Macaca mulatta: one gene and its partners. The protein of the gene in region 2 interacts with the protein of the main gene of each other region in a biochemical or structural test. Links are inferred from orthologs where the notes say so. Each region holds a gene or a part of one and is shown on either strand. Other genes may lie near its edges.

Region 1 (10,695 bases), on a different chromosome or scaffold from region 2:
ACTTCAAATCTTGCCAAAGCATGCTTAAGGCGATACGATTCTTTTTAAAAAAAAAAAAAAAAAAAAAAAGCCCTTTGAATTTTCAGTCTATAGGCTTTTAATGTGTTCCTAGGAGGAGATTCTGTTCTCTGTAGGACTTTACCAGACAGACGAAGAACAAAACAGAATGTGAGAAACAATCCCATAAATAGTATAGTGCTAAGAAGCAAATGTGAAAAAAATTACAGTTCAAATAAACATATTACAGTTCAAATAAATGTACGTGTTTTGATGGAGATGACACCATTACACTGATTACTCTAGAAAAAAATCCTTTGAAAACAAAATTTAAATGATCCCAAAACCTTTTTTCTAGATTTTAATCATTTGTTTCCTGAAAAAGTTGAGTGTAACCTGAAATCGCAAAGATTCATTTTGAAGACCACAGCTTATTACAAATTACTATGTACCAAACTTTTTGGTATGGAAGCAAAGTTAGAATAAGAATACAACGCTTTACTGAAACTTGCTGCTTGTACTAGGCTGTAGATCAAGGAAAAAAATTTTTTTCTCCCTGTTGGGAAAATGGAGAGAGGCTGTAAGGAGTAGACTGGAGGGATGTGACAGGTGTGGAATATCTATCAGATTTTTTTCACTCTAAGGATAGATACTTCCCTTGGCCAGGCACAGTGCTTCATACCTGTAAATCCCAACACTTTAGGAGGCTAAGGTGGGAGGATCGCTTGAGCCCAGAAGTAGAGACCAGCCTGGACAACATATGAGACCCTGTCTCTACAAAAAATAAAACTATGAGGTGGGCATGGTGGCACGTGCTTGTAGTCCAGCTACTAGGGAGGCCAAGGTAAGAGGATCACTCAAGCCAGGAGTTCGTACAGTGAGACAGTGAGCTGTGATCGCATTCCAGCCTGGGTGACAGAGTGAGACACTGTCTCAAAAAAAAAAGCAGGGGAGATATTCCCCTTAATCTGTGAGACAATGTCCCCCATCTTCCAGTTTATATCCAAGAACCAATGTAGATACAGGAACAAGGATCTTGAATTAGGCTACAGGAGACATAGATGCCAGTATTGGCTCTGCCTCTAATTAGCTATATGGCTTTAGGCAGTTATTTTACCTTTCTGTCTCTGTGTCTTCAACTGTAAAACAGTTGTAGATGGTTGTAGTAAGGTGGTTCACCTTTCTTCACACCATACACAAAAATTAACTCAATATGTTTCAGAGGCTTAAATGCAAGAGCTAAAACTAACACTTAAAAGAAACCATAGGATAAAAAAATCTTCACAATGCTGGGTTAGTAAAGATTTCTTAGATATAACACCAAAGGCAAAATAAATAAAAGAAAAAAAGTGATAAACATCAAAATTCAAAACTTTTGTACTTTAAAAGACACCATTAAGTAAATGAAAGAGGTCAAGCACGGGGGCTCACACCTGTAACCCCAACACTTTGGGAGGCTAAAAATACAAAAAATTAGCTGGGTGTGGTGGCACACACGTGTAATCCCACCTACTCGGGAGGCTGAGACAGGAGAATTGCTTGAACCCAGGAAGCAGAGGTTGCAGTGAGCTAAGATCATGGCACTACACTCCAGCCTGGGCGACAGAGCAAGACTGCAACTCAAAAAAAAAAAAAAAAGTTAAAATTAAAGAAGGCTAGGCACAGTGGCTCATGCCTGTAATCCCAGCACTTTGGAAGGCTGAGGCAGGCGGATCGCTTGAGCCCAGGAATTTGAGATCATCCTGGGAAATGTGGCGAAACTCGGTCTCTACAAAAAACACAAAAATTAGCCAAACGTGGCGGCGTGCACCTGTAGTCCCATCTACCAGGGAGGCAGGGGTGGGAGGATCATTTGAGCCCAGGAGGTGGAGGTTGCAGTGAATTTGAGATCATCCTGGGAAATGTGGCGAAACTCGGTGTCTACAAAAGACACAAAAATTAGCCAAACATGGTGTCGTGCATCTGTAGTGCCAGCTACCAGGGAGGCAGGGATGGGAGGATCACTTGAGGCCAGGAGGTGGAGGCTGTAGTGAGCCCTGATCATGCCACTGCACTCCACCTTAGGTGACAGAGTAAGACTCAAAAAAAAAAAAAAGGAAATGAAAAGAAAAAAAAAAACTACAGATGGGAAAATATTTAAATTAAATCATATATCAGATGAAGGACACATACCCAAAATGAATACACATACCCACACTTCTATAACTCAAAAAAAAAAAAAAAAAAAAAACCAGCCAGGCACAGTGGCTCACCCCTGTAATCCCAGCACTTTGGGAGGCCAAGGCAGGTGGATCACCAGAGGTCAGGAGTTTGAGATCAGCCTGCCCAACATGGTGAAACCCCATCGCTACTAAAAACACAAAAATTAGCTGGGCATGGTGGCGAGCACCTATAATCCCAGCTACTCAGGAGGCTGAGACAGGAGAATTGCTTGAACCCAAGAGGTAGAAGTTGCAGTGAGCTGAGATCTCACCACTGTACTCCAGCCTGGGCAACAGAGCAAGACTCCATCTCAAAAAAAAAAAAAAGAGAAGAAAAAAGAAAACAACCCAATGGGCAGTCCAACTGGACAAAAGATTTGAACAGATATTTAACCAAAGAAGATCTATGAAAGCCTAATAAAATAAGCACATGAAAGGATGTTCATCATCATTAGTTATTAGGGCAATGCAAATCCAAACCACAATGAGATACCACTTCATAACCACTAGGGTGGTTACACGCAAAAAGACAACAAATGTAGAGAAATGAGAACTCTTATAATTACTAGTAGGAACATAATGGTACAGTTACTTTGAAAAACAGTTTGGCAGTTTCTTAAACAGTTAAATTTGTGATACAACCCAGCAATTCCACTCCTGGGTATACATCCAAGGAAAACGAAACATATTCATGGGATGACTTGATGTGAATACTCAAAGCAGCCTTATTCCAAACAGCCAAAAAGCAGAAACAATCCAATGCCCATTAACTGGTGTCCAATAAAAAGGAACCATGTACTACATGGCAGATGGATGAACCTCAAAAAGCATTATGGGAAGTAAAAGAAGCCAAACGCAAAGGACCACATATTATATGATTACATTTACATGAAATGTCCAGAAAGGGCAAATCTATAGAGACAGAAAGTATATTTTGCCTGGGGCTGGGGGTGGGAACAGGGAGTGACTGCAAATGGACATGAGGCATCTTTCTGGAATGATGGAAATGTTCTAAAATTGGATTGTGGTGATGACTGAACAATTATGTAAATTTACTAAAAGATTATTGAATTTTACATTTTAATCAGGTAAATCTTATGGTATATAAATTATATCTCAAATTTGTTTTTTTCAAATGAAAAAATATTTATGCTAAGTGAAAGAAACCAAACATGAAAGACCACATGTTATATGATCCCATTTATACAAATGTCCAAAAAAGGCAAGTCTATAGAGACAAAAAGTAGATTTATGGTTGCCTAAGGCTGGGGGTGGAAAAAGGAATTAACTGTAAGAAAGCACAAGAGATCTCATGGGGATGTTGGAAATACTCTAAAACTGGATTATCGTGAAGACAGTTGTACAACACAGGGAATTTACTAAAAATCACTAAACGTTCCACTTAAAATGGGTGAATTTTATATTAAATTATACCTCAGTAAAGCTGTTTTAAATCCATGAAAGATGGTCAAATCACACTGGAGTTCATAACCTTTTAAAAACCATGGACCACTTTGTGAATGTGAGGAACACTAACCCTATCCAGAAGACTGAGAGGCTACCTTTTGCCCACTCACAGACATCCTAAGGGTCTGAGGACACCAAATTAACAAATCACCAAATCTCTAGCGCCTTTGTAACTCTGAAATTCTTTGCCATCTTAACACCAAAGGCTTTGAGAATGACTACAACCACCCTCTTCACCCTAGAAAGATGGACACACTACCAGAAAAAAAATAAAAATAAAAACTCTTCTTTTAAAATGATGATAGGGAACCTCATCTTTACTTCTCTGACATCATTTTAGAATCTTCTATTTAATCCTTTCCTTCAATATGAAACTCTGACTGGCGGAACCAGAAGCAATCAGTTCAGACCGGGAACCAGCTGTCTTTAGAACCAACAAATACACGTCAAAGACCCAATAAATACGTAGCAAGCACACAGGCCCATGAAGTGGCTTAAGCAAAGATGTGATGTCTTTATTTAGTCCAGGTTTTTTTGTTTTGTTTTGTTTTTGTTTTTCCTACACAAACCAATACTGCTTTAAGCCCAGATTGTCTTACAACAAGAGGCAAGTAAAAAAAAAATTTTTTCACAAAGTTTTTTTAAAACCCACAGTGAAATAAACACCGACACTCCCAAGGCAGCTAAGAAGTCTTCAGTTGGTCTTTGTTATAAAACTAATTTTAGGGCAGGATGCTGGCAAAGTAGACAATTCTCCTTCCTCCAATACACAGGTGTCTGCTCATGTCAGTTTGATTGAGCCTGTATAGCTAAACCCACCCCCTTTTGATTTCCAAGGTCACTGGGTTATTGTTGTCCAACAAATACTCCCCTCATCCCCAGGCCCCAGCCTCCTCCCAATCCCTAGGCTTCTGTGAGAATTACAATCTGTTTGTGCAAGTTTTGGTCTCTGCCAACTGGGATTCCTGGACCCCCTTCAAATCTTTTCACACACCAGCCCAATTTATTGGATCACGTCAAGGCACTATTTGAGGGCCTCCAGTGATACATAAAATTCCAAAATCTGTAGCAAGGCTGAGAAGATCCCTAAGCTCTGGCTCCTCCCTTCCCTCTCTATCCTTGCCAGCCTTCCTTCAGGTCCTAAAACATACCAAGCTTTTCCCCTACTCAAGGCCACTGCATCTCCTCATCCCTCTGTAAGGAAAAATCTTCCTGAGGCTCTTAATCCTCACTTCTCATCCTTCAGGGCTCAATTGAAATGTCATCGCCTCAGAAAAAGAATTTTCCTTGAAATCACCCTAACTAGATCTCCAGGTTATTCTCTATCAGAACATCTTGTTTATCTCCTTCATGGCACTTGCCAAAACCTCTTCTTTTTAATTCCACCCCCCCCCCACCAAGGACGGAGTCTCGCTCTGTCGCTCAGGCTGGAGTGCTATGGTGCGATCTCGGCTCGCTGCAACCTCCGCCTCCAGGGTTTAAGGATTCTTCTGCCTCAGCCTCCCGGGTAGCTGGGACTACAGGCGAGCCCCACCACATCCAACTAATTTTTGTATTTTTAGTAGAGACGGGCTTTCACCATATTGGCCAGGCTGGTCTCAATCTCCTGACCTCGTGACCCGCACGCCTCGGCCTCCCAAAGTGCTGGGATTACAGGCGTGAGCCACCACGCCCGGCCCTTTTTAATTCTTTTTGTCTACTTATTTAATGTCTACCTCCTCGACTAGAAAGTCACTTGAAAGGAGTCAGAAGCTGGGTCTCTGTTGCTCAGCGTGGTTCCTGCAGCTTCACCTGGAGGATCCCCAGCTCGCCCCAGCACGGACCAGGAGGAAAAAACTAAAGCAGAAATCGATGGCTGTGCCCACAACTTCAAGATCCCATTTCTCACACAGCCTCGGTAAGGCCTGCCCCACACCTGCACTTTCTTTCTCTACAAGACACATGGGTCGCTCCTGTCCACACATCGGAGAATGCTGTACACAAATCTCTCCTGAGCCCCCTCAAGCCCCACCCCACGCCGCCTCACAGGCGCGCGCCTCAAAACCCCCTTCCCGTCTCACACGCGCTCGACACAAGCGTCCCACGAATTCCTGTGAGGGCTGCGCTCCCCGAGCTTCCGCGGATCCCCACGTTCCCGCGTCCCCCGCCGCCCAGCGCCGCGCCTTCCCCCTCCGCGGCGCCTGCTCTCACCGATCACCTCCTGCAGCTCGTAATCGTCCCTGTTGATGGACCAGGGCAGGGCGCTCGAGTCCTCGGACATGACGGCGGCAGCGGCTCGCGGTCCTCCCTCAAACTCGCTGACCTCGCTCGTCTCCTCGCCGCGCGTCTCCCCACCCCCAACAGCCGCCGCCGCGCCCCCACCAATCGTCTCGGAACAGCCACGGGTCGGACGGCGCCAGGGCGCGGGGTCACCGCGCGGCAGAGCGGCGGGGTCTCAGAGCTCCGGCAGACCTCGCCTCCTGCTCCTCCGCGTCCGGCACTGCCCGGCCCAGCCCACGTCCTGTCCTAGGCCTCCGCAGCAGCAGCGACAGAAGCTTTCCCTGGGCCCAGCCCCTCTGTCCCGCCCTCCACCCCAGCCCCACGCACGGGCCAAACTTTCCCTTCTCCCTCCACCTGCCGACACGCAGCGCGCTGACGTCACTGCGCTGGTCACGCCCCACCTCGGGCTCGCCTCCGGCCGCCATCTCCAGTGTGGCTGAATACAAAGTGAGCGAGCTAGAAACCCAAGAAGGTGGGAGTTGGCGGTGAAAGGGAAGAAATGTTTAGGTAGAGGTTCATCGAAGGCATCGAAAAGCCGTAGGAGAGCCTCAGGTAGCACAGAGGCAGTAGCCACACTAAGCATGGCGACCAAAGCGCAGCAAAGTAGAGGGGGCGGAGCCACTTCTAGCGCCTGGGGCACGTTGCTGGCTCCGTCGTCGCATTCATTGGTTTGTTTGAGAAGGAATCAGAAAAGCAATGGGTGTGGGTAGACGTCAGTCATAAGCTGGTCCCGCCTCCAGGCTCTTAGAGCGCTTCTCCGTGTTAGGGCTGCAGCCCTTCAAGAGCCCCATTACCCCGCTCGTCTTACCACTTCCTCTGGAGTGACGTCACGGCGTAACCGTCACACCCTCGAGACGTGCGAAAGCCTCCACGGGGTGTGGAGAAGCCCTGAGGGAGCGGCTGGGTGGGGTAGCCTTCGGGTGTGGACCACTGCCAACTAGGATAAAAGGCCTTGGGCCACCGGTCGGAGTGAAACTGGAAGTTTGCCTGGTGACATTTTTTTCAAGGCGGACGTTCTCTCTAAGGCATGCTGTGGCGCTGTCTCTCGCGGTTCCCTCCTGCATTGGGCGGGTTCTGTCCATTAGCAACTTTAGATCTGCAGCTCAAGCACCTGCCTTGAGGGCCTCGGAAGGCTTTTTCCCCCGGAACAGGGTTTGGGCTATTAAACAAGTCAGATCGACCCACAGATTTGGGGGTTGTCTCACGAGCCTTGGCTTTTGTCACCCCCACTGAACAGTTTTCTCAGTTTGACTACGTAGTGCTGTTGGAGAAATTAGCGAGCTGAAGACAACACGCTTGGTAAATTGGATTTTAAAAAATAAAGAGCATATAACAGGAATAGGGCTAGGTGCGAAACTGTTCTAGGTTGGACGCATTTCAGTCCAATGGCAGTTATTAAGGAAGAGACCTTAGGCCGGGTGCACTGGCTCATCCCAGCACTTTGGGAGGCCGAGGCGGGCGGATTACCTGAGGTCAGGAGTTCGAGACCATCCTGACCAACATGGTGAAACCCCGTCTCTACTAAAATACAAAAATTAGCCAGGCATGGTGGTACGCGCCTGTAATCCCAGCTACTAGGGAGACTGAGGCAGGAGAATCGCTTGAACCTGGGAGGCAGAGGTTGCAGTGACCCGAGAGCATGCCGCATGCCACTGCACTCCAGTAGCCGACAGACCGAGACTCCGTCTAAAAAAAAAAAGAAAGAAAAAAAAGGCTGGGTGCAGTGGCTCACGCCTGTAATCTCAGCACTTTGAGAAGCCGGGGGGTCGGGGCGGGGTTGGGGGGGGTGGGTGGATCACAAGGTCAGGGGTTCGAGACCAGCCTGGCCAATATGGTGAAACCCCGTCTCTACTAAAAAAATACAAAAAATTAGCCGGGCGTGGCAGCGCGGGACTATTCAGGAGGCTGACGCAGGAGAATGGCTTGAACCCAGGAAGCGGAAGTTGCAGTGAACGTTGATCGTGCCACTGCACTCCAGACTGGGCAACAGAGCCAGACTCCGTCTCCAAAAAAAAAAAAAAAAAAAAAAATCCTTTCCTGCAAGCCATTGGAAGTTCAGGGTTTTTTTTGTTTTGTTCTGTTTTTTTGTGGGAGACGGAGTCTTGCTCTGTTGCACAGGCTGGAGTGCAGTGGCATGATTTCGGCTCATTGCAACCTCCACATCCCATGTTCAAGTGATCCTCCTGCCTCAGCCTCCCCAGTAGCTGGGACTACAGGTGCGTGCCACCACGCCCAGCTAATTTTTGTATTTTTAGTAGAGACAGGGTTTCACCATATTGGCCAGGCTGGTCTCGAACTCCTGACCTTGTGATCCACCCACCTCGGCTTCTCAAAGTGCTGAGATTACAAGGGTGAGCCACCGCGCCCAGACTTTTTTTTTTTTTTTTTTTTTTGAGATGAAACCTCGGTCTGTCGCCCAAGCTAGAGTGCAGTGGTACTATCTCGGCTCACTGCAACCTCTGCCTCCCAGGTTCAAGCGATTCTCCTGCCTCAGCCTCCTGAGTAGCTGGGATTACAGGCGCCTGCCACCACGCCTGGCTAATTTTTGTATTTTTAGTAGAGGCGGGTTTCACCATGTTGGTCAGGCTGGGGAAGTTTAGGTCTTAAGCTTGAGCTACACCAATTCTCCTCTCCTTGCTGGGAGTCCTGCCTGTCTACTGCAGCAAAACCTGTGTGGCAATCTGGCGTTACTGCACTGGGCAAGTAGATCTTAGTTTGGTTCTAAAACACCTCCAAGGCCGGGCGCGGTGGCTCAAGCCTGTAATCCCAGCACTTTGGGAGGCCGAGACGGGCGGATCACGAGGTCAGGAGATTGAGACCATCCTGGCTAACACGGTGAAACCCCATCTCTACTAAAAAATACAAAAAACTAGCCGGGCGAGGTGGCGGGTGCCTGTAGTCCCAGCTACTCGGGAGGCTGAGGCAGGAGAATGGCGTAAACCCGGGAGGCGGAGCTTGCAGTGAGCTGAGATCCGGCCACTGCACTCCAGCCTGGACCACAAAGCGAGACTCCGTCTCAAAAATAAATAAATAAATAAATAAATAAAATAAAAAAATAAAACACCTCCAAGCACTGGAAGCTTTGTGTGAGCTCTGCTGTGGGAGGTCCAACTGACCATGAAACCAGTCAACTAGAAGCTACTAGTGGGTTTCCACCTAGTTGGTAGGATTGGAGAATGTTTCATGAAGAAGGAAGCGTTTGTACCAGACCTTGCAAAGTTAACATGATTTCAATAGATGCACATTTAGAGGATAGAATAGTCCAGGCCCAGCAAAGGTGCCACAGTTCCAGAAAGCATAGCACAGGCCTTGCTGTAAGTGGTTTCAGCCATTACTACTGACACTTTCTTTACCGTATGTTCTGCCTTTTTCTTTTTGCAGGGAGGAGAGGGATGGGATCAAATGTATCAGAAAGGAGCTAAATCTGATGGTATTAGCTTCAAAGTTTGCACCAATAGAAAGGTCTACAAATCAGAAATCCTTAACTTGGGGTTGTTAAGCTGTATGACCCATGGACATAATTCAGTTTTGTTTTTTGTTTTTCTCCCTGGCACAGTGGCTCAAACCTGTAATCCCAGCATTTTGGGAGGCCCAGGCAGGTGAATCACGTGAGGTCAGGAGTTCGAGACCAGCCTGGCCAACACGGTAAAATCCCATCTCTACTAAAAATACAAAAATTAGCCAGGCATGGTGGCTGGCGCCTGTAATCCCAGCTACTCAGGAGATTGAGGCAGGAGAATCGCTTGAACCAAGGAGGCAGAGGTTGTAGTGAGCCAAGATCATGCCACTGCACTCCAACCTCAGCAAAAGAGTGTGAGACTCCATCTCAAAAAAGAAATTATATATATATATATAATATATAAAAAATAGGTATAGAAATATAATAGGATATACTTCAGGGAGAGATTTTGGCAACCTTCCTCCTTTCTTCCCCTTCCCCAGTGAAAAGGAGCTGCTAATCTAACAGTGAAAATTCGAGATGTTAATTGGCCCATGTTCTTGGCAGGCAGGGTCACCAATGGATTTTGTTCTGCCTCCTCCACAAGCATAGCTTGATGGATTAGTTGAGCCAGAACCAGCTCTGCAGATCTGTTCATTTCATTTATCCTGTCTCCTTGATTTTCTCCATGTAGCCTGATAGAGGTTGGGATTCTGTGAGATTTTAATATGCAAGGAATTGGCAGCTCTTTGAGGTCAGAATCCAAACCTCAACCTCATTCTCAGCCTGTTGAGTACCTTCCATGTGAAAGAGAGTATTGTCATAAACACTGAGTATAAAGTGGTGACCAAAGCAGACTCAGTTTCTGTTTTCAGGGAACAGTCTCGTAGAAAACAGTAAGCAACTAAGCAAATCGTGTAGGAAAAGGCAAGTATACTGTGACAGAGAATAGTTAGGAAGCCAGCCATGTGGTGAGTACAGTTGACCCTTGAACAACACAGGTTTGGACTATGGGGTCTACTCGTAATAATACATGGATTTTCTTCTGTTTCTGCTACCCCAAGACAGCAAGACCAACCAGCCACTCCTTTTCCTTCTTGTCCTCAGTCTACTCAATGCGAAGACAATGAGAAGCCCTTTGTGATGATCCACGTCCACCTAATGAGTAGTAAATATATTTTCTCTTCCTTAGATTTTTAAAATTTTCTTTTCTGTAGCTTTATTGTAAGAATACAGTATATAATACATGTAACTACAAAATATGTGTTAATCTAGTTTATGTTATCAGTAAGACTTCCGATCAACAGTAGGCTATTAGTAATTAAGTTTTGG
Region 2 (10,608 bases):
TATATAAACAATTTCAATATGATAAATAAATACTGTAAGAATTATATATGAGATCCACCAAAAGAAAATCTGCTTTCCAGATTCATGCAAAGAAGATGAGACAAGGAACTTAGCAGATTCTGAAAATAAGCAGTTCAGAAAGGTTGGCATTTGGGTGATGGGTCACAGAATTAGAATATTAGGAAAGGCCAGGTAAAGCTAAGGAATTTAAAAGCACCAGTACGTAAAGGTCAATACCTGCTTTCCTCCTCCTCCAAGAATAGTAGTTAAGTTTTGCTATATGATTTTTCAAGCATAAATATAAACAAACAAAATCTTCACAGATTCCCTCAAAAGGACATCCTAAAAAAGATGCTGCATCATCATAGTTAATATTTATGTGGCAGGCCCTGTCCTACATGTTTAATATATGTTCATTCATTTAATCAGCACAACTCTATAAAGTGGGTGCTCTTTTTTACACCCATTTTACAGACAGGAAACTGTAGCACAAAACTTGCTTATAGAATCCAGGCAATCTAGTTCTTAACTACTATGTTACAAGGCAGAAAAATGGCCTCTTCAAACATAAACTGAGGTCACGCTAAGTCTTACCTATTCCTGCAGACCAGGTTTTAAAACAAAACAAAACATCTGGGCACAGTGGCTCAAGCCTGTAATCCCAGCGCTTTGGGAGGCCAAGGCGGGCAGATCACGAGGTCAGGTGTTCAAGACCAGCCTGGCCAACATGGTGAAACCCCGTCTCTACTAAAAATACAAAAATTAGCCGGGCGTGGTGGCGGGCACCTGTAATCCTAGCTACTCAGGAGGCTGAGGCAGGAGAATCACTTGAACCTGGGAGGTGGAGGTTGCAGTGAGCCGAGATCGAGCCACTGTACTCTAGCCTGGGCGACAGAGTGAGACTTTGTCTCAAAAAACAAACAAACAAAAGAAAAAACTCAAATAAAATACAAGTTACTAAATATATAATTTAAATTATCAACATAATTTACAGAACTGGTATAGCAAAGGTGTACTAATTATGAATTATTTCATAGTATGCTAAATATTTTCAGAAACGATAATTGAGTATAGCTACTCTTGCTGCTTTTACAGCTTTATCTAAAAAAGTGTAAAAACTACCAGAAAACCCAAATAACAGGTTTAGGATGATTTCTGAAAATGAGAGCCCAGTTTTAATTGAATGTTTCCATAGGGACGAACTAAGATGTATTTTATTTATATTTATATACATATATTTTTTATTTTTTTGAATTTCTTTGATAAGCTGCTGGTGGAATAAGATGAATTTTAAATGAATTTGAATGTCAAGAAATGAATTGTCACCAAGCAACAATAGATTCCTAGTTTGTTTTACACAAAAACAACCTCTTCCCAGGTTTGTAGATTACTTCTCAGACTGTGTTACCATGGGTCAGAAAAAAGGTAAGAGAAAAAATTTTGCCAATACTCCTAATCAATGACTTTGAGGATTTAAGAACAAACTCCAAAAACTATTTCCTGAGATGGAAAGTTATGCTGATTCTCATCCTAAAAAATAAGGAATGTGGCACAAATTTAAAAAGAGGGAAAAAAATCACCAACATTCAAATAGAGAGATTCAGTTCAATGAGATATTTTAAGAACTATAGCAAAGAAATAAATTATGGTTTCTTAATCACAGAACCACATCCCATTTCTGTAACACTGCTAAACTTTTCACAAAATATTAATGTCATATACTGATGACATATAGTCTTAATAAAAGACAAAGAAAAGTAAGCAGTTAAGTATATTGAAGCTTCGACAAAAATATGATTTGCTCCCTTTTCAGGTAGATGTGGAAACAATCTCATCAACATATAATGCATCATGTGAACTCTTCAAAGGCAACTTGGGGGGAAGGCGCTTAAAATAAATCATTCTTAAATCTGTGCATCAATGTTTTATTTATTTCTTTTTTTTTTTTTTTGAAACGGAGTCTCGCCCTTTCGCCCAGGTTGGAGTGCAATGGCGCGATCTAGACTCACTTCAACCTCCGCCTCCCGGGTTCAAACGATTCTCCTGCCTCAGCCTTCCGAGTAGCTGGGATTACAGGGGCACGGATCACGCCCAGCTAATTTTTGTATTTTTAGTAGAGATGGGGTTTCACCATGTTGGCCAGGCTGGTCTCGAACGCCTGACCATGTGATCCGCCCACCTTGGCCTCCCAAAGTGCTGGGATTACATGCATGAGCCACCACATCCGGCTGCATCAATGTCAGGCCCAACAGTAGTATTTTCTGACCAAGACAATCAAATACTAAAATTAAGGTGCACTACTTGTCTAATAAAACCAGGTAAAGAAATCTGCATCTTAAACAACTCAGTAATTACTGAAGATCCTGTGGTGTCAAAATATTACCTACGTATTATTTACTAAGAATTGATGCTTGTAATTAGCTGGGTGTGGTGGGCGCCTGTATTCCCAGCTACTTGGGAGGCTGAGGCAGGAGAATCGCTTGAACCCAGGAGGTGGAGGTTGCAGTGAGCTGAGATCGAGCCACTGCACTCTAGCCTGGAGATAGACCAAGACTCCGTCTCTTTTTTTTGGGGGGGGAAAAAAAAGAAAAGAATTGATGCTTGTTTTACTAAAGAGCAGTGCATAGTATAACATGATTCTAAAAAATAAGCTTGGCAGAAAACAGCTTGAATTGTATACCACATTCACCCATCCACGAAAGCCTATTTATATCTCAATTTGAAGTGATGAAAATCAATACCCAAAACAGAAGCCTGAAATTTGCCATGGGTATAGGACCAGGTCCTCCAGAAATCCAACAGCCACTTCCACACCAAAACAATATTGCTTCATTTGAAATTACTTATTAGCCATCTACTGGACTACAAATACTTTATCATCTCCCAAATTATTAGATCCTAACTAGCTTTTGTTCTTCATCTACCTAATCAAGTTATTTACCTGCTCTATGATTTCACTTTTCTTATTTGTCAAATAAATAGATGGGCAGGATAACCTAAGATTTCTTCCAGTTTTAATACACTAAGATTTTTAAGTCAACAACTTAACACAATATTCTCCTGTCTTGCTTCAGAAATATGTGTATATTAAAAGGATACATTTAGCGAAAAAGTTTCTATCTTCCCAACGCTTTAGTAATCCCTTGGGCTTGTCCTTTAATTTGGCTCCAAAGATAAAAGTTCAAACACTGACCCAGTGAATACTTTATTAGGCATATAGTGCAACTGTCCTGGTCAAAAAACCAAAAATACTTCCTAACTGCTGCTATAAAGGATTTTTCAGATAGGATAATCTTTTCAAAATCAAAACAAAAAATTATAGAGGCACAGACAAATGACATGGAAGTTTCTAAATCAGGTACCACTTAATAAGCTAGGATTCATCTAGTTCTGCAGCCAAATCCGGAAATGACTCAAAAATAATATGCAATATAAGATTTTCTTTAGTTTAGTCATGCCCATGCCTAGATAATTAAAAATCCAAAAAGCTACCAGTTCTAAGAAAACCTGAGAAGCTTAGACAAAGTTTGTATCATGATATTAGACAAATTAAGTTTTTTTCACTGTATTATCAGTTCCAAGATAATAAAGTATCAGAAAATTCCAGGTGATAAAGGGAAAACACACATCACATTCTGAAAAGTCTCAGAAGTGAAATAATTAAAACTAACAAAATTAATTCATAAAGTGCTCAACAAGTAATTGGGTCCAGTCTCAAAAAAGTAAGGTAACCGGTTAAGGAAAAAAAAAATTGTTAAAAAGCACCTATTCAAATATAGAACTATAATGGAAGAATAAAATTCCAGCATCAGTAGCAATAGGCGTCGAAAGTACAAGAAAGAAATGTAAATTCTGTAAATTTCTGCCTGTAAACCAAAAGGAATCAGACATAAGTTGTTTTTGTTTTTGAGACAGAGTCTCGCTCTGTCACCATGCTGCAGTGCAATGGTGTGATCTCCACTCACTGCAACCTCCGCCTCTCGGGTTCAAGCTATTATCCTGCCTCAGCCTCCCAAGTATTGGGATTACAGGCGCGTGCCACCATACCCGGCTAATTTTTGTATTTTTAGTACAGTCGGGGTTTCGCTATGTTGGTCAGGCTGGTCTCAAACTCCTGACCTCGTGATCCACCCGCCTTGGCTTCCCAAAGTGCTGGAATTACAGGCGTGAGCCACCGCGCCTGGCCCAGACTAAGTTTTTTGAGTATGACTGACGAAAAGGAATAGTTTTCGTTGTTGTTTTTTTTTTTAAGATCTGTCACCTTTCCAATTCTAAAATACTATAAAATTAATGAGTACTTTTAATTTCACACTACTTTAGAAGTTCTACATCATTAACTGTAAAAGTTAAGAAATGATTATGTTTGTAAATAACTTCTTAGTTTTTAAGTTTACTTCCACATGCTGTGTTAATTTCACATTTGATATGGCCTTAATTATTTGGAACCTGACATTCAAAGGGTTACATGTTAACATATTAGTTCATGGATAAAACAAGTTCCAAGATCATTCAGTTATTTTCATATCCTGTATGAGGCTGGTCTAATGACATTTTTTTATGTATGCATAATGTGGCTGACTTTTTTCCTTCAGTATAACCCTGCTCCTACTAATAACCTATGTTCACCTATGCCCAGTCAGGGCAACATTCAAGCAAGCTGCTTCAGTTAGTCAAGCAACAAGTAGCGCAAACTCAGCTGTTTAAACCTAGAATGTACTAGTCAACCAGAATGACACACCATTATTTACACCACTAGAGGTTAAAAAAGGAAGTATTGAGACTCCTTTGGACTCTTGGGAAAGTTTAGCTTAAAAATATTTTATAAGATTAAAATAATGATGATGACATTACAACTCTCAAAGCACTTACACAATTTTGCATGGGCTCCTGTACTATTCGCTGTATAGTGAATGGGCTGAAAGACGTTAGTTTAACGAACAATGTCAGAGCAATGCTGCTACTGTAAGGCTTAAGCATCATTAGGTAGAACAACATCAAACATTTATTTGCACGTCACTACTGCCAAGGCATTCATCCAAAAGGGGCAGAGAAGAGTCTTTTTTAATACTTATTTTATACTAAATGCCTGTGCAACCATCAAGTAAGATATATCCAGAAGTACAAGGTCGTTCTCATTTAAAAAGAACAGCCTGATCTCAGGAATGGAAACACGCTTCTACGCCCAGAGGCAGCTCATCACTGCAGAGCCTCTGATGAGACTGAAACGCACAGAGGAAGAAGCATCTGTACTTTCAACTTCCCCCCTCATTCCAAGTTCCTTGCCAGACACTAAACCAGGAGACAATTCGTTTATACTGAGATGACCTTCACCACCCCTGCCCGGTAGCAAATCCCTCTGGCTACCAGTAATTCTTACCCTATCCCAACACCGAGGCACATGCTCCACATTCTCCTAATTTCAACCCCTTTCAAAAGTTGACCTCCCCCTCCCACTCGGAGTCCAACAGTTAGAGAATGCCAAGTGAAGGGTGAACTCATCAACTGGCTTCGCCAAGCCAAATTTGGGATCCAGAGGACCTTCAAATAAAGAAGTAGGTGGGGCTTTACCTGCAGTTCACACCAGGCGACTTCCACAGTGGTTTCAGTGTCCAGACCTTTGTAGACCGTCTTAAAGGAGCCTCTGCCGATTTCGATGTCAAACTTGAGAAAGCGGCCATCGTTAGACATTCCCACGGCCTTGGTCTCCAGCTCTTCGATATCATCCTGCTGCTGGCTCCGTTCCTCCTGCGGCTCCTTGGCGCTGCCGCCGCCGCTGCCACTTCTCGCTGGCGGCGGCTCCTCTTTGCTCCCCACAAGGCTAGGCTGGGACACTGGGCGGTCTTTGCTGGTACTGCTGGGGACAGTCGAGGGGGCAGGGCCCGCGACGGCCTGTTCCCCAGGGGCGGCAGCGGCTGGAGGCTGCTGGGCTACCTGAGAAGCGGCGGTGGCGGCCACGGTCTCTTCCCGGTGGGGCTCCGGTGGGGCACTCTGCGGGACAACCGCGGGGATGCCGGGCTGGGGGAGGGCAAGAGGGAGGCCGGGGAGCTCCAACGCAGTGGCATTGGAGTCGCAGATGACACTCCGGCGGAAGAAGCGGTGCTCGGTGGTGGTGGTGGTCGCGGCCGCCCCGCGGCTGTCCTTGTCCATCGTGTGGCGGCGGCGCCGGTACTCCTCAGTCCTGCCGGTCCCGGCGTCGGCGGCCGCGGCCCCCAGTTTCTCCCCCACGGAGGAATCGGAGCTGGAGCCATTCTTGGGGACAGGAGCCGGCGGCGAGAGGAACAGGGAGCCGGGAGTGCTGCTCTGCTTCTCCGCGGCGCCGCCAGACATGGTCGGTTCGCTGGCGAGAGGCGAGCGGGCTCGGAGTCGCGGATGGAAAGGGCGTGAGGGCCGAGCCGCCCGCGCGGAGGTCTGCAGGGCACCGCGGCCGGGCGGGTTCGCGCCGACCCGGAGACGCCTCACTCAGCACTGACCAGCCGCAGCGAGGGCGAGGCGGGCCGCTGGCACCGAGACTGCTGCGGCTCGCGAGGAGGGCTCGAAGGCGGGCGAGTCGGGAGCGGAGCCGCGGGGGTTAGCGCCGCACGGTCCGCATCCATCCTGCGGCGAGCGGCGGCCGGGCGGGCGGCGGCAGCGGAGGCGCCGCAGTCATGAGGGGAGGGCCCGGGGCCGGCACCGAGTCGAGGCGGATGCGGCGGACGCGGCTCCCACTGCCCCGCTCGCCGAGCCGGGCGGGCTAGGCCCAGAGGGCGGCGGCGCCGCGAGCACGGGACCAGGTCCGACGCCCGGGCGGTGGCAGCCCCGGGGCAGGGAGTGGGAGGGGCCGAGGCGAGCGAGGAAGGCCGCGGCCCGGCTCCGGTCACTCGGCGGCCGCCGCCTCCCACACGCGCCCCCCGCGATGGGGACCGGCCTCACTGGTCGCCCATCGCCCCGGGGCGAAGGGCCGGAGCCTCGGAGCCTCGGCGCCTGAGGAGCGGGCCCCCCCTTCCCCGAGGCCTCCCCGCCCGCCCCGGGCCTGGCGAACCCGCCTCCTCCCGGGCCGGTGCCGGGGGCTGACGGCGGAGGGAACGGCGGGGAGGGGAGGGCCGCTCACCGCGGGGCCCGAGCTCCGCTGCTTCTCTGAGGCAAGAGGAGAGGAGACCTAGAGGACTGGGTGAGGGGGAACAGGGAGAGAAAAGAGCAGTCACCCCCACCAGGCGCCTTCTGTCACCGAAGACGGGGGTGCGGAGGGGCCGAGAGAGGAGCCGCGTCCGCCCGGGAAACTCTCTGCGCTAAATGGCGCCGGGAGTCTGAAGCCTCCACACAGCCCGCTCGGATCCCGCCCCCCGCCGCCCGGGGCAGCCCCACCCCCCACCTCGCTCCGGGGTTTTGCGCAGGCGTGCCAGCCCCGAGGCACCTTGGGACTTATAGTTTACGGGTTGGAGGAGATGAACGGGACCTAGGAGAAAAGTGCCTACGACTTCCGTGATGCCTCGCGGTTGCTGTAGCCTGATGCCTCGTGGGAGTTGTAGTTTTCTTTAGAAACCGTCCCTTCTGAAAGGCTGATGGGAGCGTCATCGCGGGTCGCTCAACCCCATCCTGAAGTCCGCGCGAGCTTAGGAAAATCATTATTTAGGGATTAATTGTGGAAGAAGGGAAGGAAGGGAAAAAAAAAAAAGAGGAAGGTGGGGGGGAGATGGAAAGACTCCCATCATGCTCTGCTAAGCGAGAGAGCTCTTAGGGTTGCCATGCAATGAAAAATGATCTGTTGTTCATCTTTAATGGAGAGAGCCGCAGTAGTGTTGAGTGACTGCAGGGCTGTGGGGGTGGAGGGGAAGGGTAAAGCCGGATAACCGGAGCCTGAGTTCTGAGTCGGAGGAGGGGAAAAGAAACTTTGTGAAGATGGTGCATGAAATTAATATTGATTAAATGGATTGGAGGAGGAGACAGGGAGGATTATCTTCCATCCTCCTCCCCTCAACAATTAAGGCCACATTCTCAGCTCCCGCCCGACACGGATATTCCGGCTCTCAAAAAAGGGCTGCCTGACTGAAATCGGGGATCCTAGTGAACTCCCTCTTGGCTTTGCCTGAAAGATAATAAAAGCGGGGTTGGGGGAGCGGTGGATTCAAGAAAAGATAAGGTCTACGGATCTACGGGTCTTTGGCCACACTTGGGGGGCTGGGCTGACTTCTGCCTTTGTAGTTGGTTGAAACTTATTTTCCACCTTTCTTCTGCTGGGTGGCTCCGTGAAACAACACCCCCTCTTTCTCCAGAGCTCCTCAGTGTCCACATGCAACGTCTACCAGGGCCCTGGGCCCGGGAAACGTGGAGCCCTGCGGCTCGCCGCCATGGCATGTTTTTCTTGAAAGCATCCTTGTCTCCCTGGACCCCTGTGCTCCTCGCAGCTCCTCAAGATGCGGAGGGGACGAGCACCAGGGGGCACCAGACGGAGTAGGAGGCCGGACTCGGGAGCAGATGGCAGTTTAAAAGCCTCGGTCCAACCGGTGGAGAGCGGGAAGCGCGGAAAACGTACGCAACCGCATCAGAGCGTCCGGGCGCGGCCGCCTCTCTTGGGCGCCCGCTGCGGAACCAGCTCGGAAGCGCGCGTCCCGGGCAGAGGACCACGCTGCGAGCGAGCAGCCAGCGAGGAACTCGGCAGGAGGTTCCTTAGCACAGTTCTCGGATGAGCTCCACCTGCAGAATTCTTGCCGTGCAGTTCATGTTAATTCATCTGATCCGTAAAATGGTTAATGCTGTTTTCTTTCTCTTTTTGTTGTTGTTTATCACAAGCTACCCTTTCGAGTTTACAACAATGTTTGAAGCCAATGATTGTGAGGTTTCACGAAGCTGACAGGTTGTGAACATTTTAAAATGCCAATTCAGTAGGGACAACTAGAGTACTAAAATATTAGTGTTCCATTGCTCTAGAAAATGTATCTTTCATTCGTTTGCTGCGGGTAATGGTAAATAATCTCATTATGGTAAATGGAATTAAGAGTGTATTTCTAACCGTAAACCTACTGTAAGCAAGGGAAGAAATGGCCGTAAAATACATTTTTATTATACTTCTTGAGTCAAATAAAACTTGCCCAATTGTTGCTTCAGGAGGAAAAATAGTCTGATTTTAAACATAAGGCAGCTAATTACAAATTGGCAAGTTAAAAGAAGATCAGTAAATCACAATGTTCCCTTTTGGCACCATAAAAAAATTAGGATATTTTTGTGTGAGTGGTTATTAAAGGATTTTATTATTGCCTGTTCCTGTTTACTGAGCCCTGAAACTTTGGCCACACTGCATTGGACACAAGTCCCTTGATAATCACCATGCCCTATCAACATGTCTTTTCAACCAGGAACAACTAAATTCATTGTAAGTAATTTAATTAATTGTTGACTTAAAACCACACTTGCCTAGGAGACAGCTTTTCCCACTTGTGTAATGTTAGCTTTACAATGAAAACAGATACAATTTTAAGTTGAATATAATCTTGTTACGTACAATGATTAGATTTAAAGGTTATGTTGTTTGGTGTGCATATTTTACTAACACTTTTTTGTTCACTTTTTTTTTTTTTTTTGAGAGAGTCTCATTCTGTTACCCAGGCTGTAGTCCAGTGGCTTGATCCCGGCTCACTCAGTTCTTTTTAATGCTTACCAACCTATCTCCAAGTAAATGATATTTTCTGTTACTCATTACTATAATTCCTAATAGTACTTTTCCTTTCTCTGTTGTTTCAATTATCGAGTAAAGAATCAACCTCTCTGTATTCCGTATAAAACATCAAGTGACTGTAAACAGAGGTAACAAAGAAACCAGGATACAATGAATGCACTCAGCTCAGAGGTTTGACTTCCTGACATTTGGTTCCACAAGGATACAAGTATGTTATTCTCTCTCACCATTTCTCTGTTCTCTCTAGTTCTTGTTCATGTTCTCACATTGATTGATTCATGTTTCTTTCTATTCCCATCCATTCACATTTTTCGTTTACATGGTTTCTGCCATTGGTAACTAGCTAGCAATGAAAGAGACACTTTTGATTTAGACAGTGACTGAAATATCCTGAACACACAAGATCTGCCTTACTTTGAATGTGGCATAATATTAATACATAAAGTTGCTTCTTGAAGTGTAGGGGAAAAAATTGTCCCATCTTAAGAGCATTTCTCTTTTTTTCTTTGTCTCCTTCCCCTCATTTTCCCATGCTCCTTTGTCTTGCCTATGGGTAATTTTTATTTTACCTCTTTGTCATCTGGAACCCTGTCATCTGGAAGTAGGCAGTGAAAATCAGGCAGCTAAACAATGAAGAATAGTTTTTAAGAACTTTATATTATAAATGAAATAGAGGGGATGGGATTTTACCTATATCAAAGTATATTATAAAACCACAAAATTAAATCTGTATGGTATTGAGGTAAGCATAGGCAATGAAACAGGAGAGTACAGAAACAGTCTCATGTATGTATGGGAAGTTCATATATATATATAAGGAAAATTGCATTTGAAGTCAGTAAGGTGAAATAATAAACAGTGCTTGGACAATTATTCATTTGAAAAATAAATGAGGTCAGTTTACTTCAGACTGTTCACAAAATTAATTTCCACATAGATTGAATAACTAAACTTTAAAA
Region 3 (10,782 bases), on a different chromosome or scaffold from region 2:
ACCCTATCCAGATAGGATTTCTGAGCCCCTGGCACTCTGGTCAAACTGCAGATCTAGTAAGTATCCCAATCCTAAAGTTCAAGACCAAAATGACCAAACTTAGATTGCTACTTCTGGATTAATGAAGAACCTGACTCGTGAAGATGTCCAGCCAGCAGGATTCAGGACTTGGTGGTGCAGTCCTGCCACCACAAAGTACCATTTACACACAGGTTACCAGAGAGCCCCATACTCTTCATCCTCTTTCAGCAGTGCCACCTCAGTTCATAGCATTAGGTTGAACCCCTGTAATAGCCCACATGGATATGTAGAACATATGCATTAGTAAGGTATAGATTGAGTTAACATTTCCTGAAAGTTGAGGGTATGTTAAAGCACCTTACCTCCATTATCTCATTTTATCTTCAGAACAACCCTAGGAAGTAGGCAGTATTATCTCTTAAGGTACAGAGATAAAATTTGTCCAAAAGTCCCACATAACTAGTAAGTGCAGAACTGGCACTGAAACCCAGGCCTATCTGACTCCAAGGCCTGGGCTCTTAATAACAATGTCCACCGACTCAGGATAATGTCCATAGCCCATCAGACCAAGGGAGGCACAACCCCTCATGTCCCACTCTCTGACGTTTTTCCTTGTACGACCAAACCAGGCCAAATGAAAAAAGACTAAATCTCCTAGGACCTGTGATATAGCACTACTTCACTTCTGATTATGGGAAATTGCAGTGTGTACTGGAGTCAGTGTTATTAATTGTACTGAACTTGGAGTTTACACACTGGGGCCTTCACACAAGCCAATCATGATTCACCAAAGATGACCAGCAGCTGCTGTCATTCCTGTAATGTGCTCCTTCATAAACAAGCTCAAGAACAGGTATGTTACTAATCACATTCCTAAAACCCCAACTCACAGACCACTTTCTGCAAAACTCAAGGGGAAAACTCTTAAATGGGCTATGTAAAAATGTAAAACATTTTACACAGACAGATAAAATTAGACAAGAAGAGAGAAAGACTAAAAGAAAACATGCTATTCATTATGTGACATTTTGGAAGCCAAGTTTATGTTTAGTTTGAATAGGAGAGATAAGCCCTTGCATGTGTGTGATTTTGATAGTGGCTACGATATACTTTCATAAATGAAAATGAAAAGTCCAGGAAAGTTGTGCTAAGACTCCGAAAATCCTCATAAATGATAAAAAGTTAGATCTCTGACCTGAGAGGCATTGAACTTATTTAACAGAAAAAAAAAAAAATCTGGGTTGGGCGCAGTGGCTCACACCTGTAATCCCAGCACTTTGGGAGGCCAAGACGGGTAGATCACGAGGTCAGGAGATCAAGACCATCCTGGCTAACATGGTGAAACCTCGCCTCTACTAAAAATACAAAAAATTAGCTGGGAGTGGTGGCGGGCGCCTGTAGTCCCAGCTACTCTGGAGGCTGAGGCAGGAGAATGGCGTGAACCCGGGAGGCGGAGCTTGCAGTGAGCCGAGATGGCGCCACTGCACTCCAGTCTGGGCGACAGAGCAAAACTCTGTCTCAGAAAAAAACAAAAAAACGAAAAAACCTACCAGCACATGTTCAATCTATTTTTTACATGGTTTATTAGTGCTCTATTCCGTTTAACCTAGTTTGAACATTCATCCAGAAAATGAAAAAAAAAAAAAGGTTAGTTTGATGATGGCAAATTTCATCAAATAAAGCACTTTTTAGGAAAACTCACACAAAAATTATCTTGTCCAGATCTGTCTTACCAATTCAAAACTTAGCAAGCAAAATCCTAAAAATCCAAATCTGGGTGCAGGGAAATCAAGAGGTTTCTTTCCCTGACTTTGTTTTTGCAGTTGAAAACTTTACTTTGCCAAAAAGTATTTCCAAAATGGAAAAATTTGGTTTCAATTATCATGGTTGAAATGCATGCACATCTGCTTCAGGCAGCAGTGATGCCCAAAACTTTTTACAGAATTTTCTATCCCTGACTTCTAAGGTTCGGGGAGGACTAAGTGACTTGCCACTGGGAACAGAAAAAAGGCGAGGTTGCTCAACACTTGCTCTTCCCTGGGTCTTGCCAGCATTTAACCTGACATTAGAAAACTCAACATTTAAAGTATACTGGCTTTCAAAGTCTTGTCTCCTCAGAAAATATTCTCTATCTGTCGTTCCTGGATCAAAGGTAAATAGATGAGCTCCTTTGGATCAGAAGTTCCCTGAGGTCCAGGAACAGGCTCTCCTTCGTAAAAACCAGTCAGTAAGAACTATCCTCTGAGGACACCTCACACAAAATCACAGCACAGTGCCCGGTACATGATGCCCGTCTCAAGCAGGGGCATCGCTGTGCTTCTGATGAAGAAAATAATCATGATTTTAAGAAAAATAGACAATTAACTTCCCCTTTTTATGATGCTTCTTCCAAAGTTGTGCTGCTCTGTAACTCTTGCAGATCTGCCACAGTCTGGGCCTCAATGTTTTTTTTATTGTGGTAAAATAGATGTAATATAAAATTTATAATTTTAACCATTTTTAAGTACAGTCGTACTGTTGTACAACCATCACCACCATCCATCTCCAGGATTCTTTCATCTTCCCAAACTGAAATTCTCTATCCATTAAACAATAACTTCCCCACTCCTCCCTCCCTCCAGCCCCTGGCAACCATTTTACTTTCTGTCTCTATGAATCTGACTAACCATTTATTTTGAAATTTTATTTTAAGCTATCCACAAGGCTGATTTCCAGAACTGAAATAAAATCCCAATTGCAAGGACAACTGCCATTTGTGATACCTATCTTCTCTACATACCCACTCACATGGACACAATTTATCATTGTAATAGCTAACAGCCAGAGACCCTTTCCCTTTGCAAAAGAGAAGACAAAATCACCTTCGTCTGACTGGTCAAGCCACAGTGATTCTCCCACAGAGGGAACTGGGGAAGACTCAGTATCATAAGTTCCAGGAGAGACCTGGAAATCTAGAAAGATACAGCAAAGGTTAGTGCAAATTCACAAGTTCTTCTTGAGATTTTGGCCTGAACAAACATGTATCCAGCCCATGGTTCCAAATCACTGAGGCAACTAGATGCCACAGGTTGTCTATAAAAAGAAAGATTAAGGTAGATCTTGATGAAACCTAAAAGAAGAAATGCCAAGCCCTATGGGGGAACTTACTATACGGAGATAGTTTTAGGTAAGAAGCAAGATGATGGCCTGATAAGCTCCCTCATTTCCTCATGGAAATGGTTCTACTTAATCTGCTTTGGATGATAAACAGAGAGAGGTCCTAAAATATGCCTTGGTTAGTAACCCAGCAGCGAGGTATAGGCTACAACATAGCAATAGGTGGATACCAATGATAATAGCAACTACCATCTCCTGAGTACTCACTCAGTGCCTAAAAAACTTTACTAGGTACCTTACACATATTGTATCATTTAATCTTCACAACAGCTCTATGAAGTATAAGTACTGTTATTATTTCCTTTACACAAAAGAGAAAAATTAGTTCTGAAAAGAGTGTGACACACTCAAGGTCACACTGTAAAGTAGATTCACCACTAGGTCTAAGTTACTCCAAAGCCCATGCTTTTAATTAATAGCCTTTCAAGGTACAAAGTATTTTCATACCCTCGTGGCAAAGAAAAAAAATTGTTCATTAGCAATCTCTTGGTTGAAATTTTGTAATGCTTAAAAACAGCCCCAATTAAGATTCAGCAGGTTAAGTGTGGAACAAGCACCAGATTCAGGATCCCTCCAGTCTCTGGAGGTTGGACATGTGATCCTAGGCAAGTCACTCAGCTTCTCCGGACCTCAATTTCCCAGGGAACTTGCAAAACAAGGCTACTTCCCTCTGTTCTCCCCCCTACCTCAAAGCATTCCATGGAGTCAGTTACCCGTGCTAAGATAATAAGGCTGATATCCAAAGATGAACCTATTGGCCAAAGGCTTCAGTCTCTTCTCTCACCAACTTTCTTTTTAGTTATCAGAGCCTCACACAAAGGTTATTAGTTAATCAGCTAATAACTATTCAGCACCTGCTATTTGTGTACCCACACAGTAGTCAATGGGCGTATTTAGAAGTACAAGGTACTAGCCTTGCCCTTGAGGACCTGTCTCCAAGTTTGGGGACTGCTAAGATATATGAAATAAAAGCACTAAAAGATCTGATGGGCCTATTATTCAGTGTCCAACTATGAGATGCAAACTAGAGGGATTAGAATTCAGAAGAACATCAGCCAGGACTAGAAAAGCTGAGTTTCCAAGATAAAGTAGAATTTTAGAATAACCTTGATAGATAACTTTTGCAAAATTAGAAGGGAAAGACATCCAGCAAAAGAAACTCTGGGAGCTAAGGATATGAGGCTAGATGAAGTAATGTATAGGATGGGTGATCATGAAAGAGATCAATAGAATTGTTAGTAGGTTTATGAGTGAGCAGTGGGAATGGGAACAGGAGTTGGAGTTCAGAAGACTTGAATGCCTGGCATGGTAAGCTGGGCTTGAGGCAGGAACAAAAGGTATGACCTGGGTGACCTGGTGAACATTGGAAGCTGCTCGGTTTGGATTTCTTGTCTACCATCTGCCTTCAGCAGAGGAAAAGTACAAGAACATGTGCAACCTGGTGTTCTAAAGCCATAGACATCAGCCATCCCAGCTGAGAGGCCCCAGGACAGGGGCAGGGACTCATTACATTTCTGAACACAGAACTGGGAACACAGTGCCCCAAACCATTTGATCCGCTGCTAGTAGTCTCACACTGATCTCTCAACCCCAGTTACACCACAGATCAAGCAAATAGGCATGGCCCAGAATCTCTAAACCTTCATCACATCAGCCCCATTCTCTGCCACCTACCAGACCAATGGAACACTGTTTGGGGGACCAAAGACACTGCTCACCTCTGCCCCACACCTAGGAAACAAGCCTTCACATGTTCTGCTGCCCAGCAGGCCACATGCAGTTCAACACTAAACTCCTGTTACAAAGAGCACCCAGAAAGACGATGCACCAGCAGCACAGTCAGTCCCAGGCTCTTCCTGTGGGAGTCATCAAGAACACAATTCCCAGGGCCTCTACGGACAAAAGAATGAGATGACACTCAACCATCATGCCAGTTCTAATAGGGTCTAGAGATGTTCAATGGCATCATTGAGCCCCGTGAGACGCAGAAGTCACAACAACTCATGAAAAGGAAAGTGTTCACTGAGAGATTCTCTAGTGTTGACTTAGTTGAGCCTATTATTGTTAACCAGATAGTTACTGTCTGCATCAAACTGGCAACCTGGAGCAGCAGCCTTCCCCTCAGTGGTGCACTGCCATGGCCGGACCCCTCCCTGCAGTGCTCTCTCCTCGGATAAAATGGCAAGCCCTGTACTCTACCAACTGCAGACCAAAGAATGAAGAGGTTGGCACTCAAGAGATATTTTACTTCATAGACAGAGGAATGTCACCTCTGCACTGCACTGAGTACTTTCACAATGAAAGATTCAGATCTTCAGATAACAATTTAAAAATTTAGATGGGTGTGCCTGCCAGGATCTAACTGCCTCGCTAGTTAGATCCAGCTCAACAAAAGTACTTGAAATCTTTTCTGCTGGTTCGTATTTCAAAAGAAATCCCTGATGGAGGAAGCACAGACCTTCCAGTATAACTCATAAACTTTTCAATACAAATATGAAACTCAGTTCAGAGCAAGTGTCATCTGACTGGATTTCTCTCCTTCATCCCTGAATGTGTGTGTATACAGGCATACACGGCGTGCCTGCGCGCACACACACACACAGCCATCAGCATGGCATGCCTGCTGAAGATTCGAGCACTCCTGCGTGAAAATGCAAGTACACTATGTCAGGCCGGCCCCACTATGACATCAAAAACCCCCCACCAAAGAAAAAACACCCCGGGAAAGTAGCCAGGAAAGGGAAACGCCTCCTTGAAACAGCCTGAGAAAGGCAATCTAATTCAGCCTGTGCTGAAACTATTCCCGAACACCAGCCAGGAAGTCCCTTCTTTCAGGGTGCTCCGCTGCCTAGCAAACCCAGACCTGCCTTTGCGGAAGCCAGATCTCTGGAGATTCAAGCCCTGGAATGGGTGGTTTGGAAAGCGGCTTTCCTGCTCTTGCTCTGCCGCCCTTTGAGATCCATCAGTGGCCAGGTTTTCCAACCCTGCCTAGCCAATGCAAGCACAAAAGCTGGTGGCTGTACCGCAAGCACACATTTACTTATATACACACACAACACAGCACATACTTATACATACATACCTTTCACCCTCCATTGTGTGAGGCCCAGTCAGGGTGGTAGCCGCTGAACTGTGTGCATGCACCCGGGAATCCTAGTTCTGTTCTTGATTCTCCCAGCAGACCAGTGGGAGATCTGATCAGCAACAGTGATTCAGCATGGCTGCAAGTGAAGCCTCCTCCCTTCTCAATCCTCCTTCCTCTGACTTACTCGCAGCAGCTTCTACCGCAAAAGCAGCAGCAGCAGAAAATGTCTTACCCAGAGCTCCCTGCAGCCCTTTCAGCTGCTAAAAGCAGCAACCCACTTGCTCCCCCTCCCCCGCAGGCTTGCTGCTCCTTGGTCTCCTAGGAACGGCAGCAGCTCCAGCGACCCAGGTGCACTGCCACCTTTCCAGCTGCCTCTGCATCTGCCCAGGCATCCCCAGCCCAGGCGATTAGCCCGCCCCTGGGGCTCCTGCCTCCTCTGTCTAGGCTGCAAAGAATCAGGCAGTTCGTCACTAGCCCGAGAAATACTGGCCCCTACACCCTCCCCTGCCCCCATAGGCTATGAGTCTGTCAGCCTGGCCAGATTGCTGGAATGAGGAGGCCCCTCTGTGGCCTGCAGTGGAGTTTATCATCCACCTGGGGAAATTCACTTGTAGGTCACAGTTTATGTTCCAAATCCTCCTCCCAAATTCTATAGTAGCTCTGAGTGTCTGATAGATGGGGAGAAGTTAAGGAAAAAGCACCTGACAGAAGTGAGAAGAACACAGAGAGAAATTAAAAGAATACAGAGAGAAATTGGAAAATTAGTCGAAAAAGAGAGGTAGTACAAATAGGTGAAACGGAAACAAACCCTATTTTACTCCAAGAGGCCAAAGACTACTGCAGTAAAGCTATCACAATGAATACTAAAATATCTTAGCACAATCCTAAAATATCTTCCTAAAATCTGTCATATTGGAATTTAACTTAAGCTGTGGCTCCAACTAGTAAGTCTCCCACTGAACCCCCATATCCAGCCAAAGATCTTTCACATCCTGTAATCTCCAGCTGCTAAGCTTCTATTTAGACTAATTTAACTCTCCCTGCCTGGAAAGGCTTCTCCAATCCCAGTCCTTTAGTCTTTCTGGGAGGCTAGTCAAAATCCCATGTCTTCATAACTTCCCGAATCACACCAATGACAGCCAATCACCACCAAAATAGCTACAAACTATACTGTCCTGTATTGTCATCTCACACCTAGCTAATTCATTATTTATAAATCTTCTTTCCCAAACTAAAACATAATCTTGTGGAAGGCAGGAGGCCAGTCTGTATATCCTAGCCACAGAGGCTTAGAGGTAACTGGGGCAATTAGCCACAAAAAGTGGTGCAGAAGCTACCCTAATGCCTCAGAAAAATCAGCTATGAGCATCTCTCTTCTGGGACCCCTCAAGACACTCCTGGGCTTTTCCGAATCTGCACCAGCTCTCACTGGGTGAGTGACTTTCCTGAGTAGTGTTCTCCACACTCTGGACCTCATGCTCAGCTACTCATTCACAATATAGGGTCAAGACCAGACAGTCTTTAGAGTCCCTTTCAGCTCCAAAATCACAGGATTCTAAAAATGTTTTAAATGGTCTGTTTTTCTTCTCAGAGTAATCTGTATGATTGTTTAAGAAGAAACACTAGGCTCTAATGTTTTGTAGGGGGCTTCAAGGAGGATAACATGATGTAGGTGAAAGTATGAAGAGACGCTTAGTAAATCTATCATTCTTATCATTTTAACCTGATAAATGTCTTCACTACTACAAAGCTCTAAAACCACAGAAGGAAGAGAGAAACACTGGGGTGACAGAAAGTAAAAGTAACTAATACTTTATATAGCCTCCTGAACTCAAACTGGCTACAGGGTTATTCTCAAAGATTACCTCCCCTGGCACCTCAGTGTTCTCTTAGACGAGGCCATTACTCAAACTCACTCTTTCTCAAGTGAGAAGAGGCCTGGATAATTTCATTTACACCCCACAGGGCTGTATCTTCACTTCTTCCTTTCACAACAATACCCCTCCTATCTTGTTCCCTCTATGTCCCTTCCTCCTCTAATCAGCCTTGTGGCCCTGCTCCAGATATTTCCTCTTGAGGTCAATCACAGGGACCACAAAAAACTGAACATCACAAATAAGGAAATTGAATCTCGGAATCCATGCCAGAGTTCAGACATCCACCAGGAAGACAACTGGGTGATTCATAAAAGGGACATAAGAAAGAGATGACTCCTTTGCACATACCCACGTTTACATATTCGCCTTACAGGAAGGTGGGGAAATGCCACATCTAATACACCAGACAGAAAGAAAAAAGATCCAAAAAGGAAATATGTAAGGGTTGTGGGTATTCAAGTTTCAAAATACAACTATTAAGAGCCAATATCAAAACCCACAAAATTTCCCTGCAACCCACTTTTGCCATGCTAACCGATATCATTATAATGTATGTGTCAAAACCATACTACTACACCTTCATACTTTATTCACCACTCACGATTCACAGGAAGTAGACAGAATAGAGAATACTCAGAAGACGCCATTTAGAAAAGAAAGCTCATCTTAAGCAAAAAGAACAAAGCTGGAGGCACCACATTAACTGACTTCAAACTATACTACAAGGCTATAGTAACCAAATCAGTATGGTATTGGTATAAAAACAGACACATAGACCAATGGAACAGAAAAGAGAACCCAGAAATAAAGCTGTTCACCTACAACCAACTGATTTTCAACAAAGTCAACAAAAATAAGCAATAGGGAAAGGACTTCCTATTCAATAAATGATATTGGGATAACTGGCTATCCATATGCAGAAGAATGAAACTGGACCCTATCACCATATATAAAAATTAACTCAGCCAGGTGCAGTGGCTCATGCCTGTAATCCCGACACTTTGGGAGGCCAAGGCAGGCAGATCACCTGAGGTCAAGAGTTTGAGACCAGCCTGGCCAACCTGGCAAAACCCCATCTTTACTAAAAATACTAAAATTAGTCAGGTGTGGTGGCATGTGCCTGTAGTCTCAGCTACTTGGGAGCCTGAGGCAGAAGGATCATTTGAACCCAGAGGTTACAGTGAGCCGAGATTGTACCACTGTACTCCAGCCTGGGTGACAGAGTGAGACTCTGTCTCAAAAAATAAAATAAAATAAAATAAACTCAAGATGCAGTAAACAATTAAATGTAAGACCTAAAACTATTAAAATCCCAGGGAAAAAACCTAGGAAATACCCTTCTAGACATTGACCTTGGCAAAGAAGTTACAACTAAGTCCTCAAAAGCAATTGCAGCAAAAGCAAAAATGACAAGTAGGACCTAATAAAACTAAAGAGCTTCTGTATAGCAAAAGAAACTATCAACAGAGTAAACAGTGTACGGAATAGGAGAAAACATTCATAAACTGCATCTGACAAAGGTCTAATATGCAGAATCTATAAGGAATTTAACTCAACAAGCAAAAAACATATAAACCCATTTTGAAAAGTGGGCAATGGACATGAACAGACGTTTCTCAAAAGAAGACATACAAACAGCCAACAAATATGAAAAAATGCTCGTCATCACTACTCACCAGAGAAATGCAAATCAAAACCACAATGAGATACCATCTCATCTCACACCCGTCAAAATGACTGTTACTAAAAAGTCAAAAAATAACAGATGTTGCCAAGGCTGTGGAGGAAAGGGAATGCTTATACGCTGCTGGTGAATGTAAATTAGTTCAGCTACTATGGAAGGCAGTCTGGAGATTTCTCAAAGAACTAAAAATAGAACCACCTTTTGACCCAGCAATCCCATTACTATGTATATGCTCAAAAGAAAATAAACCATCCTACTAAAAAGGTACACACACTTGCATGTTCATTACAGCACTACTCAAAATAGCAAAGACAAAAAATCAAGTTAGGTGCCCATCAATGGTGGACTCAATAAAGAATGTGTGGTATATATACGCCATGGAATACTACATGGTCATAAAAAAGAACAAAATCATGTCCTTTGAGGCAACATGAAAGCAGTGAGAGGCCATTATTCTATGTGAATTAATGCAGAAACAGAAAACCAAATGTCACATGTCCTCACTTATAAGTGGGAGCTAAACACTGGGCACATATGGACATGAAGATGGGAACAATAGATACTGGGGACTACTAGAGGATGGAGGGAGGGAAAAGGGGTGATATGATTTGGATGTTGGTAGGATCCAAATCTCATGCTGGAATGTAATCCTCAGTGTTAGAGTTGGAGATAGGGCCTAGTGGGAGGTAATTGGGTCATAGGGGCAGATCACTCATAATAGTTTCACGCTGTCCCCAAAATAATGAGTGAGTTCCCACTCTGAGTTCATTCAAGATCTGGTTGTTTAAAAGTGTGTGGCACCCTCCTCCTCACTCTTGCCTCTGCTCTCATCGTGTGATATACCAGGTCCCCCTTTGCCTTCCACCATGATTGTGAGCTTCCTGAGGCTTCCGCAGAAGCAGATGCCAGCACGCTTCCTGTACAGCCTGCAGAGCCATGAGCCAATTAAACCTCTTTTC

The links.
Region 1: of the proteins of WNK1 (region 2) and OXSR1, one has a biochemical effect on the other in vitro, tested with the Homo sapiens proteins (2 studies listed by BioGRID and IntAct, with this or other methods). The link is inferred for Macaca mulatta from reciprocal best matches to the Homo sapiens genes WNK1 and OXSR1.
Region 3: of the proteins of WNK1 (region 2) and KLHL3, one has a biochemical effect on the other in vitro, tested with the Homo sapiens proteins (2 studies listed by BioGRID). The link is inferred for Macaca mulatta from reciprocal best matches to the Homo sapiens genes WNK1 and KLHL3.

What each region holds. Positions count from the first base shown.
Region 1 is NC_133407.1:100,416,976-100,427,670, reverse strand, and holds the start of OXSR1 (serine/threonine-protein kinase OSR1), read right to left. Parts: upstream 6,011-10,695; 5' UTR 5,926-6,010; coding exon 5,856-5,925; intron 1-5,855. UniProt on the Homo sapiens protein: Effector serine/threonine-protein kinase component of the WNK-SPAK/OSR1 kinase cascade, which is involved in various processes, such as ion transport, response to hypertonic stress and blood pressure.
Region 2 is NC_133416.1:1,531,258-1,541,865, reverse strand, and holds the start of WNK1 (serine/threonine-protein kinase WNK1), read right to left. Parts: upstream 6,727-10,608; 5' UTR 6,328-6,726; coding exon 5,569-6,327; intron 1-5,568. UniProt on the Homo sapiens protein: Serine/threonine-protein kinase component of the WNK1-SPAK/OSR1 kinase cascade, which acts as a key regulator of blood pressure and regulatory volume increase by promoting ion influx.
Region 3 is NC_133411.1:146,581,196-146,591,977, forward strand, and holds the start of KLHL3 (kelch-like protein 3), read right to left. Parts: upstream 6,510-10,782; 5' UTR 6,274-6,509; coding exon 6,260-6,273; intron 1-6,259. UniProt on the Homo sapiens protein: Substrate-specific adapter of a BCR (BTB-CUL3-RBX1) E3 ubiquitin ligase complex that acts as a regulator of ion transport in the distal nephron.